2 linked regions of the Drosophila melanogaster genome follow. The protein of the gene in region 1 interacts with the protein of each later gene in a pairwise test. Each region holds a gene or a part of one and is shown on either strand. Other genes may lie near its edges.

What was found.
Region 2: the proteins of CG6891 (region 1) and CG8420 interact in a two-hybrid assay, tested with the Drosophila melanogaster proteins (one large-scale study listed by BioGRID).

The regions. Positions count from the first base shown.
Region 1 is NC_004354.4:18,772,376-18,782,627, reverse strand, and holds CG6891 (uncharacterized protein), read right to left. Parts: upstream 7,401-10,252; 5' UTR 7,050-7,400; coding exon 6,999-7,049; intron 6,131-6,998; exon of another isoform or gene 5,773-6,130; intron 2,996-5,772; exon of another isoform or gene 2,783-2,995; intron 1,948-2,782; coding exon 1,624-1,947; intron 1,551-1,623; coding exon 1,434-1,550; 3' UTR 1,283-1,433; downstream 1-1,282. Other genes in the region: CG18259 (uncharacterized protein), read left to right, coding at 1-714, 771-852; CCKLR-17D3 (Cholecystokinin-like receptor at 17D3), read left to right, coding at 8,843-9,416.
Region 2 is NT_033777.3:9,245,839-9,253,294, reverse strand, and holds CG8420 (uncharacterized protein), read right to left. Parts: upstream 5,847-7,456; 5' UTR 5,622-5,846; coding exon 4,860-5,621; intron 4,471-4,859; coding exon 4,322-4,470; intron 3,376-4,321; coding exon 3,096-3,375; intron 2,640-3,095; coding exon 2,316-2,639; intron 2,083-2,315; coding exon 2,002-2,082; 3' UTR 1,864-2,001; downstream 1-1,863. Other genes in the region: St2 (sulfotransferase 2), read right to left, coding at 330-945, 1,090-1,424.

The DNA.
Region 1 (10,252 bases):
GCAAATGAAGCAAGCGTCGCCACGCTACTCAATTGGTGGGCTCGACCTGAACCGCGGCGACGACGTGGAGATGTCCATGGCCCCACTAAATAACAAAATAGATAACAATGCATTCTCCATTTACGAGGCGGCCCGCAATCGCATTGAGCGTCCTTCGCTGACCAACCGACTCGTAGTTGGACGCTCAAATACCACCAAGGAGCCTCTCGAGCGCCGCCACCGCGACACAGCAAGCACAAGTAAACTCCCAGAATCGCTGCGGTCTCGTCTGTTTGTCGGTAAGAGGGATCCTCACATTTCTCATGGCATCTACGCCAACGAGAACCGGAGAAAGGCTGTTGGTGGCGGTGGTGCTAGGGATAGCGATAGCGGTACTGATAGTGATGGTGATGCAGCTGCTCCATCGAAGAACAAGCGCCGTTCGCCATCCCCATTGTCGCTGCGTACGTCGAACACAAAGGATGGATACCGCCTGCTGGTGAGCAATCTGCATACTAACGTGACTACTGCGGATATTCGCGAGCTTTTTAGCGACATCGGCCCAGTGTACGACGCTCGTGTGGTGCGTCCCGGCACCGCCGAAGTTATTTACAAGTCACTGGAACATGCCGAGAAGGCCGTAGATACCTATCACCATCGTCAGTTCGATGACCAGCCCATGCACTGTGTGCTGGTTAATCCGCACTCCTCCCGTCGCTCGGTGCACAAAGCCAGGTGAGTGATATGCTTTAAAGATACCAAGCAGTATTGTTCAACGTTCTCGGCCGTAGCTCTCGCACCGTGACCACAAACTCGTCTGGCGTGGAGGTGGACATCGATGCACTTCACTCGGTACTCTTCAGGGTCCGCTAGGAAGCGAGAGGCAGAGCCCGGGAACTAAAGCAACTAGATAATTTTTCTCATCATTTTCATCATCTCCGTAGTATTTAGTTCAACAACGTAGTCCATTTTCATTTCGCGCTTATTAAATTCGAATCGATCCATCCAGCGTATGTTCAGAAAACCAGACTAGTTTAAACGAGAACATTTCTTTACTATAGAAACTTGAATTTTCTAATGCAAATTCTGGCATATCTGTCCACTTCAGTATTCAGTATTAGGTGGCTAAAATTTTTGTCTTATCATCAAAGTAATTCATCAGTCCCACTATATACACAATTAAATGTATGGCATTGATAATGATTTTGCATCCGCTCTTGAAATTTGGTATTGAAAACTTTTCTTTTACCTTTTTTGAATGACACTATGGATTATGATTATACGATAAATAAGAGGACCCAGTAATGTTACAATTGCTTGTATAATATTTCATAAAATGTACAGTTTTTAAATTTCATAAAATTAATTCATAATAATTAAAGAGAAAGGAGCAGTTTGGTAAGCAGTTAAGAGTTGCAAAAAAAAATGTATATGTAAAGTAACTTGGAGGCCGCTTAGTTATCCCGGATGCCCGTTCCGTAGTTGGCGCCGCCGGCACGGTTCAGTGCTTCACGGAAGAGCTCAATGTCCAGCTCGGCCTCCACTCCCGCCTGAAGTTCCACGGCAAAATTCTGCAAGAGATTAGAGATGAGAGGATCTATTTCTGCCTCTGGGCTCTGGCATCTCTAGCTATTGGCTACTCACGTTGAGGACATCCTTGATCAGCGCCTTGTCCGTGGACATCTTGGCCCTCTGGATGACGCCCACCTCCTGCCCGATCCACGTCAGGAAGATGAACTTTTTGCGCTTGGACATCTCGTCACCCATCTGGATGCGTATGTAGCCAAAGGCGCGCTCCGAGTCGCCGAACTGCTGTCGGAATTCCTCAAAGCACTGACCGCGCGCATGTACAATAATCTGGGCGCCATCGAACTTGAATACCGCCCACTCGGTGTCTGTCAGATCGGAGCGTACATCCTCGTAGGCCTCGCGAATCGAGTCCTTCTCCAGCGACGTGGCCAGCGGCATCTGCGAAAGAGCAAGGGGGAAGAGGATTATAAGCAAGCGAAGAGGGGAACTATAAGCAACTTTCAGACGGAAGTATATATCTTAATCATGTATTCCAAGTCCGAATCGTTTCGCCAAGGCGAATGGATCATCCGCTTTGGCCCATCGATAGCGAAATGTATTGTATGTACTCAATGCGGGGCCAAGTACTCTTGACGGCGCCATCTATGAGTCAGATTTAAGCGGTGCTTTCGCTTTCGATGGTTATATTACATTCAATTCGACTTGTTTCCGTGTCAGGCAACCTCAAGTCGGCCAGGGGAATAGGCACGCCATTGCATCGCCCACTTGCATTACGTTCGGGCAGATTCACGGAAAGCAATTTGTTGCCGCTTTAGTGCTTTATAAACATAATACCAGCGGGCCAGCGGAAAAGTAGCCAATGTAAATATGTACATATTTCGAAGAAAAAATAAAGGCTTTATTATGATAACATACTGGAACATACCCGCATATTAAATTACAGCATTTTTGATAATGATATCAGCACACACATATGAGGGTTCAGGGTTCTGGTTCAAAGCCCAAAAATATGATGATTTAAAAATATCGATATGTAAATGAATTTAAATTGCTTGATAAGTTCGAATGGCTTGATAGTGAAATGTAAAAAACCAAGTCTCAATACGATTTTGGTTAGCTAAAGATTAATTTTAATTGTGGTTTATTAAGTGATCTTTGGGGTAGCATTATGTGCACAAAGTTAGGCTCAGCTTAGATGCGTGGAAAGCGTGTAAAGCGATTGGATCGATGGTTTTTGATACGAGTATACTTGTAGTACGGATCGGAAAACTACCCTTTCACGTAGTGCACTCTTATTGTCTTAAGCGGATCGCCGCATTAAAATCAATTTACGCGTGACAATTTTCAATCAGCAGCCGGCGGAAAGCAGGTCAGAGATTTGATAAGTGACTTGGGGTCGTCGGAACGGGATGACAACAAACAAAGAGAGCCAAATGACTGTTGGTCCAACTGCCAGCCAAATGGATCGGGCTTGGAGTCAGGAACTAGACTCGCGTATAAATAGACATTGAAGCTGGGCCAGAGATACGGATACAGATACAGCTAAAGGTACAAATACAGATACAGATACAGATACCGATGGGAAGATGGAGATAGAGATCGCTCTATAATGCGTTCAATGACCGGAGAGTACGGCGTCTGGTGAGAAAAATCAATTAGAAAAGCGACGACTGTCGAAAATATCAAAAGCCAAACAATTAAACCCAAAGATGTTTCGGGCGACGACTTTCACAACGCGACGCAGTAAGAACTTGGAGTTTGTATGTGTATTCTATGCGTCGCATAGAACTATGGAACAGCTCTGAATCTCCCGTTTCGTGGCTCTGAATTAATTAGTCGGAAGGCAGGCAAAAAAAAAAAAAAAATGAACAAGATGCGGACGCAAACTGTGCCAAAAATGAGCGGACGACTAAGAAACCGTTGCAGCGAATGACCCACCGAAAATACCCGACAAATTTTCCCCCAAACAAGCAAGATAGCAGATACAAATGTATATAGAAATGTCGGTGCTCCTCCTGCAACCTCCACGGGTACGTGAGCCAAATTGTTGGCTAAAATTAGCTGAAATTAAGTTTCCAGCCGATAAGCCCGATAACGTTCGCACATATGTATCTATATACATATATATGCCTATATGGCCATATCTCCACTTCTGACACAATGACAACACGACAAATTAGATCACTCCAGTTGGGCTGGGAGTGCACCCAAAGATCGGATAGGATAGGCTCGGATAGCCCCACCTCCGGAATTGACGCAATGCCATCTATTTGCTCTGATAAGAAAACTGTCGCAAAACTAAAGGAACTGTAATTGATTTATTACCGAAAGTTCTTGGGATCGCCCGGGCAATTAGTGCCGGTTAAATCTGTAGGGCTCGCCTGTTCCAATTTTACACGCCATAAAAATTCAGCAGAGATTGACGCTTAGTCATAGGAATCGAGATATTGCGCTGGCTTCAGGAAATATATCGAAAAAAGGGAAACTACAATAGTTTCAAGGAAAGTCAGAGTGCGTCATCCTCGAAAGATTCGCATAGAAAAGCGAGCGACAGTAGCCAGTCCATAATTGATACGGTTAATCGTGATTCGTGATTCTCGATGGAAAACAGTGAGCAACAGTCTGATAAGTAACCTTGTAGCGATGACAGGAAATGTATATGCATACATATTTTCAGTTTCACTTGGAACCACCAATAATCCTAACAGATCCATTGAGTTAGCCACCTTTCCAGCAGGAAAGCCATCTGCCAAACAATTCGCGCTACTCAAATGGCTTGCGGCCATATCCGATAGATAGATGTACATATGTATTATATCTATCTATATATGTGGATTCGTACGTAATGAGCCATATATGCCCATGTGTGCATTCATACAGCACGCTGCATTGCCAGCTAGATATATGTAGCTATAGTATCTATAGCTATATCCATCGATATCTGGCAATGAGCGGGCCGGCGATGCATCAAACGCGGCTATAACTGCAGCTAAACGTAACCAAGCATAATACAGCAAATAACAATTTGCTAACGAAAACGAAACCGAATCCCCAGCGCCAGGTGCTTGAAACTGACTTGCTGCGTAACTCAACGCTGATACCCTTGTGAAAGGTATCGCAGTTGTAGAAATTCTTGGGATACCTTTAAAATAAACATCTATGAGAACGTATTGTATGTAAATAATCCTGTCCTTAAGTAAACAGCAAGCTATCGAGAACTACAGAGTGAATGGTATTATATCCGTATCTTTTATCATTCGATGCCTGGTATACACCACTGACATTATTTCAAGTTAACTCTGTTTGTATAGTTTATATATCTAATTGTATGGTATATATAGATCGTGAGCTCATAAAGCAAATACTGAAGTATGAACAATAAAAGTTAGAGTATTCACTTTCGATTGCACTAAACATTTTGTATTTTATTCGCTTTTTCATTGTGTATGTACAAGTGGACCGAAAGTGTTTTATGTTGACTAATGAATTTCAGATAAGAAACGAAAAAAATTCCAAATAATACGATCGGGCATGAATAAAGGAAAATAAAGGAGAGGCGATGCAGATATATATATGACATACATGCACAGTGAAAACACAATATGCGGAATATTCGTGGGTCGATGCAACTGACTCATTGGCAAGGCAATTGGAAAATAACCAATAAATTGCAGCGAATCGGTTATTAACCGCTTCGCCTTGGCCAGACTAAGTCCAAAAAAAAAAAAAAAATAAATAAAACAAGCAAAAAAAATAATTGGCAATGTTGTGACAAATTGCCAGTTGCCGCAGCGCAGTCGCAATGACGTACTTGCTCCGGGTCTGGGACCGCCGATATGTCAATGTTCTTTTTCCCCCACTTTACTTTACTTTATTTCATTTCATTTTATTTCTTATTTTTATTCCGCTGCCGTCGATGTTTCATTCGCCACGCACACTAGCACAAACAGTGCAGGAAACAAAGGAGCAAACTGTTTTGTGGCTGCTCACGCCCCAGACGCCCGGAGTCGGGGGATCTGGGATGCCGGATGGGGTTGTGGATGGTCATTCTGATGGGTACGGGGTATCGGTATGGGGTACGGGTTGCGGGTTGCGGGAAACGAGGTTCCGAGTGCGTGATTCATGCCGCCTGAAGGTGACGACGACGACGACGACTCGGGGAGTGGATGACCAAAATTGGCGCGTCAGGAAGCGATTCCCGAGCATTGAAAGGGTGTGGAATGGCCGATATCCCCATCGATTCCATACACTTTTATTACTCACTTGTTTGCCTGCACTTGGAAACCTCGAAATTGTAATATTTATTGGCCTGCACAATCGTTTTGTTTGATGCCATAGAGATTAGGTTGGCGAACAAGTGCTGTGCACCAAAAGTCACATGAAACGCAGATCTTGCGATCAGCTGAACGAAGTACCCGCAAGATAATGGCACTGCAACCATTTACCCAGCTCCCAGTGCCCGCTAAATACCGTAATCTGGAAAGCTATACGTGTTTGCCAGGGCGACGGACTGCGCCGCATTAACCGCAGCGTCTTCGTTGGGTATCGATGGTGTCTCGAGATCCCAGCGAGCAAGTGCAGCAGCGGCAGCCGCACTGCAAACGCACTTGAACTTGATATGCATCGCTGCGAAGGCGTCGCATTCGGATTCAGTTTTTGGGTTCGGATTCGGATTCGGAGTCGCCCCCACAATCTGCATCCGCCCCCGCAATCGCATCCAGCCAAGATGATATTGCCCCTCGGTACTCAGTCCCTGTTCCTGCCCTGCCCTGCCCCTTTCCGCCCAGCCAGCCAGAGCCATAAAACCCAGCTGCCACCCCGCCTCCTGGACCTCTGGCCCTCTGGGGCCGGTTCTTGTGGAGCGGAGTCGCCGGCGAGCCAATGTCAGAGTTATTTACAGACACTCACGCATGCCCAGCGATATACACACACGCCGCATGGGCCTGGGCTTCAGCAACTCCAGTGTGTACACCGGAAGAAAACTGTATTTTGTATCCTTAAAGCCAATGTCCGAGTTCAATACCACTGTTGGTAATTGAATTTTTATATTATTGTATATTTCTACTAATCCCCAATATTTTTCAATATATATTTGAACAATTTAAAGTTCGAAAATCGATCATTATTCTCAAGAGAATATTATTTTTTTTTAGCATTCTTTAATTGTAGGTATTTATAATGTAGTGGTGATTAGAACTTTCTTCCATTTTAAGGTTGTGCCATCGGATTGGCTCAGCCTTAAAAGTGATCAGCATACTGAGTACCCGTTTTCTTTCGGTGCATTTATAAGATATCTCTCCGGCCTGCTCTCTGACTCTCTGGACTTCTGGCTGCCCCATCCAATCTTTTATAATTCTTAATTTTCGGTCGTCCCCTGCCGGTATACACACACATTTCATGGTCCCTGCCCGGAGCAGGACTACCGACTCCATCCATCTCCAACTCCAACTCGAACTCCATGTGTGCCCAACCCACTCCCCACTACTCACCCTTCTCGGCTTGCTCTCCACCAATTGCTCGACCTCGATGCCGTCCGACATGCTGGTGCGCTGTGTTCTGGATGTGGATGTAGATATGGTTTTCAATGCGCAGCTGGGATGCTGGTGCTCTTGGGAACAGCTTCCTGGGATCGCGGGTGAGTCTCGAAGGGGAACGGAGTGCTGGTCTGGCGGGAAGAGTTGACCGTTTGCAAGGTGACAAAGTGGCAGAGTGGCAGAGTGGCACAATGACAACGAAAACAAAAATACACAGCGCCAGAAAAACAACAAAAAAACACAATCCAAGCGCACAAAGAGCGATGGACAGAACCAGCACAGTTCCAGATATCCAGATATTAGAGCAGCCGCTGAACTTCGTCCGACCACCACGAGTTGTATCTCACGAATGCGGCGTTGCCGGCGTCTGCAACTCCGAATGAAGTGCCGACCGTCGACCGCCGAAGTCGGCGGCGCAGTCGCCGTGCGTGCGAGCGAGATGCACTGGCCAGAAGGCCCCACGGCAGCTGTTAGACAAACAGCAGGTGCGACAGAGACGGCTGCGTGGGGAGCAAGCGAGAGCGGGCGAACTGCGACGATGTCGCCGCATTTGGCTTTATTTTCATTTTCATTTTCAGTGCAGGCATTTCGGAAACACCAAAAAAAGCCAGATGTTGGCTAGTGTTTTATGCGTACACCGCGAGAAAATTTAGTCTGCTAGATGCTCCTATAATGATAATGAAGTTTGCATAAATACTTCGTGTTAGCCATCTTAACTGGCAATGGCCACAGGAAACCATAACATCGTGCGCAAATATATGTATAGTCAGATGGATAGAAAAACAACGACTGTACTCCTCCATCTAAACTATGTACGTCCTTAAGGATCAGCTGAATCCCTTGAAGAAGATCTCTTCCTCGATGGTGAAGAGGCTTACGAGAAGTGAATTCTATCTATTCTATCAAAACATGAATTTATTGGATTTATTGGGTTTCTTCGGCAACACGGATTCCTGGCATAGTCATATCCAGTATCCCAGTGGAGTCACGTCTTACCACTGCAGCTCCCGGTCATGTTATTTTCCTTCATCGAGGGCTATTCCATTCACTTCCTGCGCCGAAAAAACGAGCAACAATTGCAAGCGAAAAGGTAGTCTTTGAAATAGATGCTATAGGTGCTAATCGGAATCGCTATATATCCAAAACTATGTCTAGATCAGCACTGATCCCTGCCAGCTTGTCGGCTGGGAATGCGATCCGTGGAATTAGCGCAGAACATTTGTGCAAACACATAACGAGCCGAGATTGTATTCTCTGGCACTCAAGTGCCGTAGGAATGCGGCTGATTTGATGATTAGCGCGGTGCGTGGGCCGAACAGCAGCTGCTCCGCCGCTGCAGACGCCATGGATGATGCAGTGCACCGTATTAATTTGTCCCAATCGGCAGGGAACGTCCTCCGCGCAACATGGGAGTTGCCCGGCAACAGGGCTGCCTGGCAGCATGCTGCTAGCCACAAGTTGCCGTGGTGAGTTTGCGCCATTCGGCATCGCCCACGCAACATGTTGCGGCAGCTAGCCCAGCGGAGCGGAGGCGTCGTCCTCGTCCGCCAGTCGTCAGTTGCCCACGACGCGTTACCCGCAACGGTAGCAGGCGAGCCCTCTCCTGGCAGCCAAAGCCGCCAGCTCGTGTGCTCGGATACCCCCGAGTTCCATATCGCAATCTTTGCCAGCCTGCGCGCAAGCGTCGCCGTTTCAATAGCAATTGAGTGAAATTTTATTTTATTTTTTTCGGTGACCCGCAACGGGACATGTCAGGCGGTGGTGGCCAGTGATTGCCACGAATCACCCGGTCATCCGGGATGTTCAACTACGAGGAGGGGGATGCCGACCAGGCGGCCATGGCTGCAGCGGCTGCCTATAGGGCACTGCTCGACTACTATGCCAATGCGCCAAGTGCGGCGGGTCACATAGTGTCGCTCAACGTGGCACCCTACAATGGAACTGGAAACGGAGGCACTGTCTCCTTGGCGGGCAATGCGACAAGCAGCTATGGCGATGATGATAGGGATGGCTATATGGACACCGAGCCCAGTGACCTGGTCACCGAACTGGCCTTCTCCCTGGGCACCAGTTCAAGTCCAAGTCCCAGTTCCACACCCGCTTCCAGCTCCAGTACTTCCACTGGCATGCCCGTCTGGCTGATACCCAGCTATAGCATGATTCTGCTGTTCGCCGTGCTGGGCAACCTGCTGGTCATCTCGACGCTGGTGCAGAATCGCCGGATGCGTACCATAACCAACGTGTTCCTGCTCAACCTGGCCATATCGGACATGCTGCTGGGCGTGCTCTGCATGCCCGTCACCCTGGTGGGCACCCTGCTGCGAAACTTCATCTTTGGCGAGTTCCTCTGCAAGCTCTTTCAGTTCTCGCAAGGTGAGTGGAGTCCTCCCGGTAAACGGCAACCACTAAATGCCTAAACGCCTGGCTTATTTAACGACCTGTCCCACTGGAGGGAGCTGCGTTCTCGGACATTATAAGTAACCGCCTAATATTAGCTTAGCTGTCCCAATTCCCCCATCTTCTGTAGCCTTCAATTAGTTGGAATTACAAATACATAAGTTGAGGGCCCTATTTATGGCGCGTGTGAGTTGGGGGCGACCGGGATTCGTAGTTTCCTTGGTTCCTAGGTTCTTGGGCTCTTGGGTTCCTGCGCATTTAGGTTCGTTGGTGGGGCATTAAAATAATTTTTTACGATTATCGTCGCATGTGGATCGTTTTATTGGCCCTGTCTTGCGGGGAAGAGCTCATAAAGCGCGCAAAACAACAAGTTGTGTAAAAGGTGGGCATACAATGTCCTGGTTTCCATCTCCACCTAGTTACCCCTTTATTTCCATACCACCATACCCATACCCACATCCGTATCCATATCCCTGTGCGTGTCGCATGTTCTCAGAAAACTGAAAATGGAAATGAGAATCATAATGTGGGCCCATGTTATTGACAGAGTGTGCGCCATTGTCTGTGGACAGGATACGGATAGCGTGCATCCTTAAGAGTCGCACGGCCATCGCATAACTTCAAATCAAACGCGTTGGCAGGACAACAGTTGGACGTGATTAAAAAGACATTTGTTGGCGCTACTTGGGGGGCCACGGACAATTAAATGGGCTTTCGAAAGAAAAACTGGCAGCTCGTTCTTTATGTTTATGTGAAACGGCGCATTAGCAACGGCGTTGTAAATACATATTTCACGATTTCGGTAATTCGCT
Region 2 (7,456 bases), on another chromosome or scaffold:
GTAGAGAACTGAATCTTGAATCTCTGATGGTTGTAGTGTTCGCAAGAGCAGTTTAGAAAAGACTGGTGGTCTCAGATTTAAACACAAACCTTGTTAATTTTATGTTTTTATGTTTTTGAAAGCTTAAATGTTGATAAAAAGTGGAAAAAAAGTTTTTAAAGACAAGAAATTAAAAAAAATTGGTAATTTAATTTAATTTACGGATAAGTAACCAATAAGTCTTTTTATAACTATTCATCGCCTCCATAAACGTATTTTATACGCCCATAATCCAATTAAGTTTATTAAAATATTTTAACACAAAAAATATTATTAGCAAGTGGGGTTTTTCACACGTAGTCAAAGTTTAATCCAGAACCACGCATATGTCTCTCGGTCCATTCATCAAAGCGTTCCGACATCTCATTGCCCATGTGATTGCGCCAATCCCCGATCTTGCCATTGCGTATGAACTTGGAAGATGATTCCGGGAGCAGCTTCTCCAGATTCACCGCCTTGTTCGCCCGCATCTTGTCGAATGTGAGGTGATCGCACAATTTCTGCAAAGTGCTCACATCGAGGAGACTTTGAACGCCCAGGAATCTGGCACAGCGGCGAACTACACTGGGCAGATCCTTGACCATGTCCTCGTACTTGATGAACAGCACATTATCATCCTGGCTACGTTTCCAAAAGGGCAGGACGTGCCGCCAATAGGATCCCATCGGTGTGTGCCCCTCCAGGAAGAGATCCACGAATTGCTCAAAGTCCCCATTCATGCCGTGCAGCAACTTGAAGTAGTGATAGTACGAGACGCAAAGATCCTTGGGATTTCGAGCAGTATACACGATCCTCGGCTTTACCGTCTCAAATTGCTCGGGTAGCAAAGGCCACGGCAGGTGGGAGCGTGCAAAACGTGGGCGTGGCAGATTGCGAACCAGATCCACGGTATTGCCAAACTTTTGGCTGTCAGGCGAGGAGAAAGTGCAAAGAGGTGAAAAAGCTTTTTGAATATGAATTTTTCCCCGCTTCACTCACTTATATATATATACATTAGTGTACAAGTAATGTGTATATGAGTTCAGAATGATATAGTTTCTTCATACTCACGCCACCGTCTCGTGATGATCGATGCTAAACAAAGCGGATAGTTCAATGAGCGGAGATCGCAATCTTAAATCTTGCTCAGCGGCCACGTAATCCAATTGGTGACCCAGCAGCCAGACCATCTCCTGGGCCCACGTCGATCCGGTTCGTGGATAGGACACCATCCATACGTCGTCCTGGTAAACGGGAAGCGATCGAATCGATTCGCCCAGCTCCACGTACTTTCTGGGAATGATAAACTGATCGGGGAGGACCTCAACAAAGCAATTTTGTACCGGAAAGACTGCATTAGTGCGTCGAAGTATGTCCTCCTCGAGTTCACGATAAATTAGCTGCATGGCTCCTGTATCTTTCAACTGCTTTGGCCAAATTACCAAAGCACAATGAAGTCAAAGTCAAGTCGAGTGGCAAGTGCAAGTGCAAGTTCAAACGAGGCACTGAAATGGGACTTTCCACCAACACGAACTGGTTTGTGCAGCAAAAAAAGCTCTTGTAAGGTGAATTAAGGCTTCAATAAGTTGCCTGAAACTAAGATCAGGTTTTTGAATAACTAAAATTCAAAATCATTAAAGTGAAAATCCTGAAAATTGTCTTATTGGTCTGATTATTTAAAGTGATCTCACTTAGCTAAGTTTGACTGTAGTTGGATGGCTTTTCTTTTGCGGTTCGTTGACTTCAAATAGATCGTAAAATCTGTAGACAACAACTATGATTAGAAATAGTTAGATAACCATCTCATGACCCTTATGACACAGTTTAAAATAAAAGGTTCTGTTTAAATTTAAATATATATTTCAATCCGTAATACTATATACACACGAAATCTTTATCTCAATTACAGCTAAATCGTCTTAATGAGCCTTCGTCTTCTACTTTTCTTGTCCGGATCTCGCTTGTCCATTTGCAACTGGAATACTACAACTCGTTGTGGATATATTCCGTGGTCACCTTGGCCTCGCCCTCGTGGAAACCATTGCAGTCGACTGGATATTTGGCCTGTTGGCGTGCAATCGCAGAAATATCGGTTAGAAAGCGGCGACAAATGGAAGTACAGAGAGAGAAAAATATATATGATTATTTACTCGTACAAAAAGAGTACCAAAAGAATACGTTCTACGTAACGCAGCATACTTTTAGTTATCTTTTATATCCCCTTAGAGATTTCATCATCTTCATGCTAGATGTATTCCATTTCTTTTCAGTGCATCACTGTGGCCGTTATTACTCACCTCGCAATTGTATGGCGCATTGATCACACCGAAGAGGGTCCAGAACGGCGTACCGGTTTCCGTGCTAATGAAGATTGCCGCACCCATGCTCCCGATCTTAACGATTTTCGGACTAACTCCGGCAATTAGACTGGACGCCGATGTCGGGCGATTCAGTTGGCTCTGCTTGGGCTGGTGGTGCTGCTGGTATTGGTCGTGCTGCCTCTGCTTCTCCTGCTGATCGAGAGCCGCTGCATTCAGCTGACAGAGCACGTAGCGATCGCATTGCGGCGACTTGGAGATGTATCTGTAGGCGCGATGGACTTTCAGCACCGGTTCAATAACCTGTTTGCCATTTGATCCATTGACGGATGCGTGGAGGAGAAAATAGTGGCGTAATTAATTTGATTTGCTTCAAACTAAGTGTTTAGTACATCTAACTGGGCCAAGTTATTCAATTATAACAAATTCATTTTACGTCGAAATGGGTCAAAGCATTTGCAAGAATCATATGGGATAAATTAGTTATAGTTTTCAATGATATAGTTCAGTAATGTAATCAGTTCCTATTAGCTCCTTTAGTACTTTATACTTTATACTTTAGCTACTATCAGCAACTTCAGTAAAGTAATCATACATATAAGGATCATATAGTACATAACTTTAAACAGAATTACTATTTAATTAGTGCTATTATTTTCACCTCAGCTATTTCCTATTCTCAGATATATATCTCCAATTACCAACTGCGTTGCCCAGTTCCCATATCAGTTAAGTTCAGAGTTCAGAGAATCTGCTTACCTCCAGGTTAAGCGTATCCGTTAGCTTGTCGCTGATCTCGGTGGCATTGAACTGAAGTAATCCGCGTGCCTGGCCAAGTTTTAGCAGTTCCTTGGCATAGCCCACGGCTGGCTTGACGTACTGCCTCGAATCGATCTTAACGTTCAGATGATGCTTGGCCACATGGTCCAAGAGATTCGAGATGGTCTCGCCCGGACGGGAGGGATCGAAGTGGGTCTGCTTGGGGTAACCTTGAGACTTCAGCAAGCCGTTAAACATGATCTGTGCCGTCTGGAAGTACCTGTATAAGAAAGTGCCGAGAAGCGGGCAAATTGATGAGTTTCAATCACGCAGCACCGCCGAGTGAAAGGGTCTCTAGAAAGTGGAAGTTGTTGTGCGCTTTTGTTGTTGTCTAACGTTGGGGGCAACGCAAAACAAAAACAAACAAAAAATAAGAAGACCAAGAAGTCTGAGAAGCCTGACCTACTTAAGAATCATGCAAAAATGTCTGAATCCAATGTGTACACAAAGAAAAATTGCTTAAATTAATGTTTTTCTGCTCGCTGCATGCTGATTTCTTATAATTCCCAAGTCGTTTTTCCTATGTGAAAAGTATTCATAGTTTTGGAGATTTGCTTAAGGAATACATATAATTAATACTTATACTATTGCATTTTAAATAACAGTTTCGATTGGTCATTATGAATTGAGAAGATTTGTAGATAAGAATTACTTGATTTTTCAGACATGTGTACCCGGTCTGCCAAGGCAATTTCCCCTGGCTAAAACCGCCAACCGGTTTTGGCCCGCTTTATTTATTTGTTTGTTTTAACGATGCCGTTGACTTCTGTATCTTCTGCATATCAACTGTAACTGTATCAGTGCCTGGACTTGGTACTTGCCACTGTTGTTGACCAGTTGGATTAGCAGGCACGTTCTAAAAGCAGCACCAGCACCGAAAAAAGTGGGTCAAAAGGTAGCCGCATCGAACATGCTCGATGGCCAAACGGGTTGTCGCTAACGGGAAATGGTTAGCACAGGCTTTGCCAGCAGCTGTTCGAAATCTGATTCTGAATTAGAATCGGAATGGGCATCGGATTTGGACTGGAAGGTGGTCTTGGAGTGTGACCAAGAATGGCAGCCAGGTGCTAAATGCACTGGGACCGTTGCAGAGCAGAACGTGATCCACAATTAACACGCTTTGGCCATCGCTGAAGATCGAGCCACGTTGGCCGGCCGAGACTCACCTGAGATACACCTCGGGATTGGCCAGGTAGCTGGCCCAGTCGGCCAGGTAGAGTGTGGCCGACTTGATCCAGCGGCGACGGAAGGATTGGTTATTCAGCGACTCGAAGAGCTTATCATAGTCCAGCTTGCCATCGGAACCCTTGAAGCCCTGGAGGTGGATAAGAGTAGAGTAATTAGCATTACAAATTGGTATTTAACATATTATTTTAGTAGCGTAACATTTCAGAATTTGAATTTGTATTTTAGCTAGGAAACAAATTTTAAATTGTTTTTTTTTCCGCTAATTGTTTCTATATCAATTTAAATGAGTATATATAGATTATTTTGTTTTAAAGATTTTCTCTACATTTTGTTTACGCATGTGTAGTCAAAATAGTTTACTCTTAATGTGTTCCTAAGGTCTTTAATATGTTGAATATTTTCCAATATTGTATTAAAAAGTGCTATATTTTATGCAAAAAGCGTACTAAAATCTAATAAAATGTTCTAACATCAAAACGTCAACAATATATAGTTAAGTCTGATTTATGCATCCACCTTCATGATTTTGTTAACTCCGGACTTCTCGTACAACGCATCAGCCAGCTCGGAGTTGGAGAAGTGATCCCACAGCACGTGAATGTGCTCCAGGAATGGGGGCAGCACCCAGGCGTGGCTCTTGTGCTTCTCCTGGGTGCTCTGACCCTCGGGACCGGCAAAGGAGCTAACCGCCTGCATGACCAGTGGCAGAAGGTTCATCAGTCCGTTCTCGGATTCCGGTTCCGTGGCGGTGGATCGCTTCTGCTGGTGATGATGTGTGGCCTTATCGTTGCCCTGGGTGTTCATGAAGGCGGATGCCACTTGCAGTATGGTATCCAGACCAATGCCAGATTCAGAGCCACCGCCATTGCTGCGCTTTTGCTGTGGAGTGGCTTCCTCGTCATCGCCCTGGGTGAACATCTCGAGGACATTGCCAATGATGGAGGGATCGAAGCCACCGCTCTGACCGCCCTGACTCTTGGACAGAAGACTGCCCAGGCCCGAGAGGATCTGCATGGCGCCACCAGCACCGCCGCCTCCTGCTCCGGCGCCTCCAGATTTGCCACTCGCTTGCATGAAGGTGCCAATTAGCGAGGCCACACCCGCCAAACCAGCACCGCCTCCTCCATTGTTGCCACCGTTCTGGTTGGACAGCGCCTCCTGGAAGAACATGGAGGCCATGTCCAGCAGCGGATTGGACTCATCCTCGCTGGCCATAGATGGACCCAGCGGCTGGAGGCACAGCAGGCAGGCCAAGAGCAGAGCTCGTCTCACGTACATTTTGCTTCAGGAACTTTCACAATCACACACTTGAGATACTTTTGGGCCAATTAAGCGACGCAGCCACAAAACGCGGAAGACGCTCCACTGAGCACACGAAATATATGTATGTATATACTATAACTATGTATATCTAAACAGATATTACAAAGATTGGAGAACGGAGAACGGAGATCGCAGCGTAGAGCAGCCAGCACAGCCGAAAACTTTCTTTCTTCTGCGGCTCTGGGCCAGTTTGTAACACTTCTTAAGCCAACGATTCTTTGGGGGCCATCGAACATGTTCGATGTGAGCGCTCTCTGGACTCCCCTTTCTTCGGATCCAAATCTCCAACTCTATTCGCCGCTCTCACCTGTTTCCAGACAGACTCTCTCTCGCGGAATGGAATTCTTTACGCCTGCGCTTTGAACACCACGTCAGGTTCGCCGTCTTCAGAAAAAAAAACGAGACAAAAGAGAGGGCGAAGAAAGAGCAGAAGAGCTTTGGTTTTTACAGAGAAAAAAAATTGTTATGCAAAGATCAGAACCGCTTATTGTGTTGGGATAGAGTTAAGTTAAATGTTTATATAGAGAGATCAAAATAACATATTAAGATAATCATAACACTTTCTCTATTATCAAAAGTAGTATCATTTTGTAGAGATCAAATAAAGAAATTATGGTTGCAACCTTTTTTTTTATGTGTACCCGGTTCTATGGCTCACACTTTGTTTATGTTTCCTACCTACCCACCTACTTTCTTTTTACACACGATTGTCCGCTTTGAAAGTTCTCTTCTCGGAATGGTGGTTGGTGGACATTGGCAGTCAGATTTGATGGCAACGCTTTCGTTAAAGCCGCCTGTTTGGGCTTTTTATGTAAATACGAGTATCAACACAACATTTGTGGCTCTTTATTTGGGTATACTATACTACAATGAAAAAGAACTGGTCTTGGAAAATTGAAAAATTAACATTAATTAAATTAAAACTACATTTTAAACCATATTTTTTCACAAATTAATTTTGTGTAAATGTTAAATCGTTTATAAACCTTTTCGATTGAATTCTCAATGCACACTATACCCATTTTCAATCTAAATAAAAGTTATATTAAATATTTAATAACATTGAATATCCGCTATATACAAGGGTATATATTGGTTTGCACCTTAAATTAAAGTTCTCATTTCAAGTTCTTTAAGCAACCCAATGAAATACTCGGCACATTTGTCACCTGGACTCTTGGTGGTGGGTTGATTTTGGCTCTCGTCATGGCCCATTTCGAATTTATTCAACAAACAGATTGCAGTGTGCCCGTTACATAAATTTATAATCAGTTTAATGGGTCCGTCATGCCGAACTAAAGAGGTGTATCTGTATCGATCTTGTTCACTTCTTTACTTTCTTCACGTTCTTCCAACTCCGAAGCAAGATGACCTTTCCCCATAAATTAGTTATTAGCATATTAAATAATTCGAATAGAGTTTCATTCTTATGTTTGTAAATTCAAAGTTATTGGAATAAACTCCACTCTAAAGTACTTGTCACATACAAAATTCGCGGCCTTTTTTAAATTGAATTATGTATTTGAACTCATACCATATTATCGATTGTTATTAGTTGGTGTGCGGTATATCGATGTTCCTTAATGAAATAAGTGTGTAAAATAAAATTTCAATTAGGAAATATTTAAATCCGCGATTTTTGAAAAAGTATTGCCAATATAAAAAATGATAAAATAATGTTGATAAAATGTTTAGGAAACTTAAAAAAAGAAGTGAATATGTTGGCCAGTGTACTTATCGATAACATCGATTGGTTTTCGCCACCAGCTGTTTGGCTGCGCAGAAAAGAC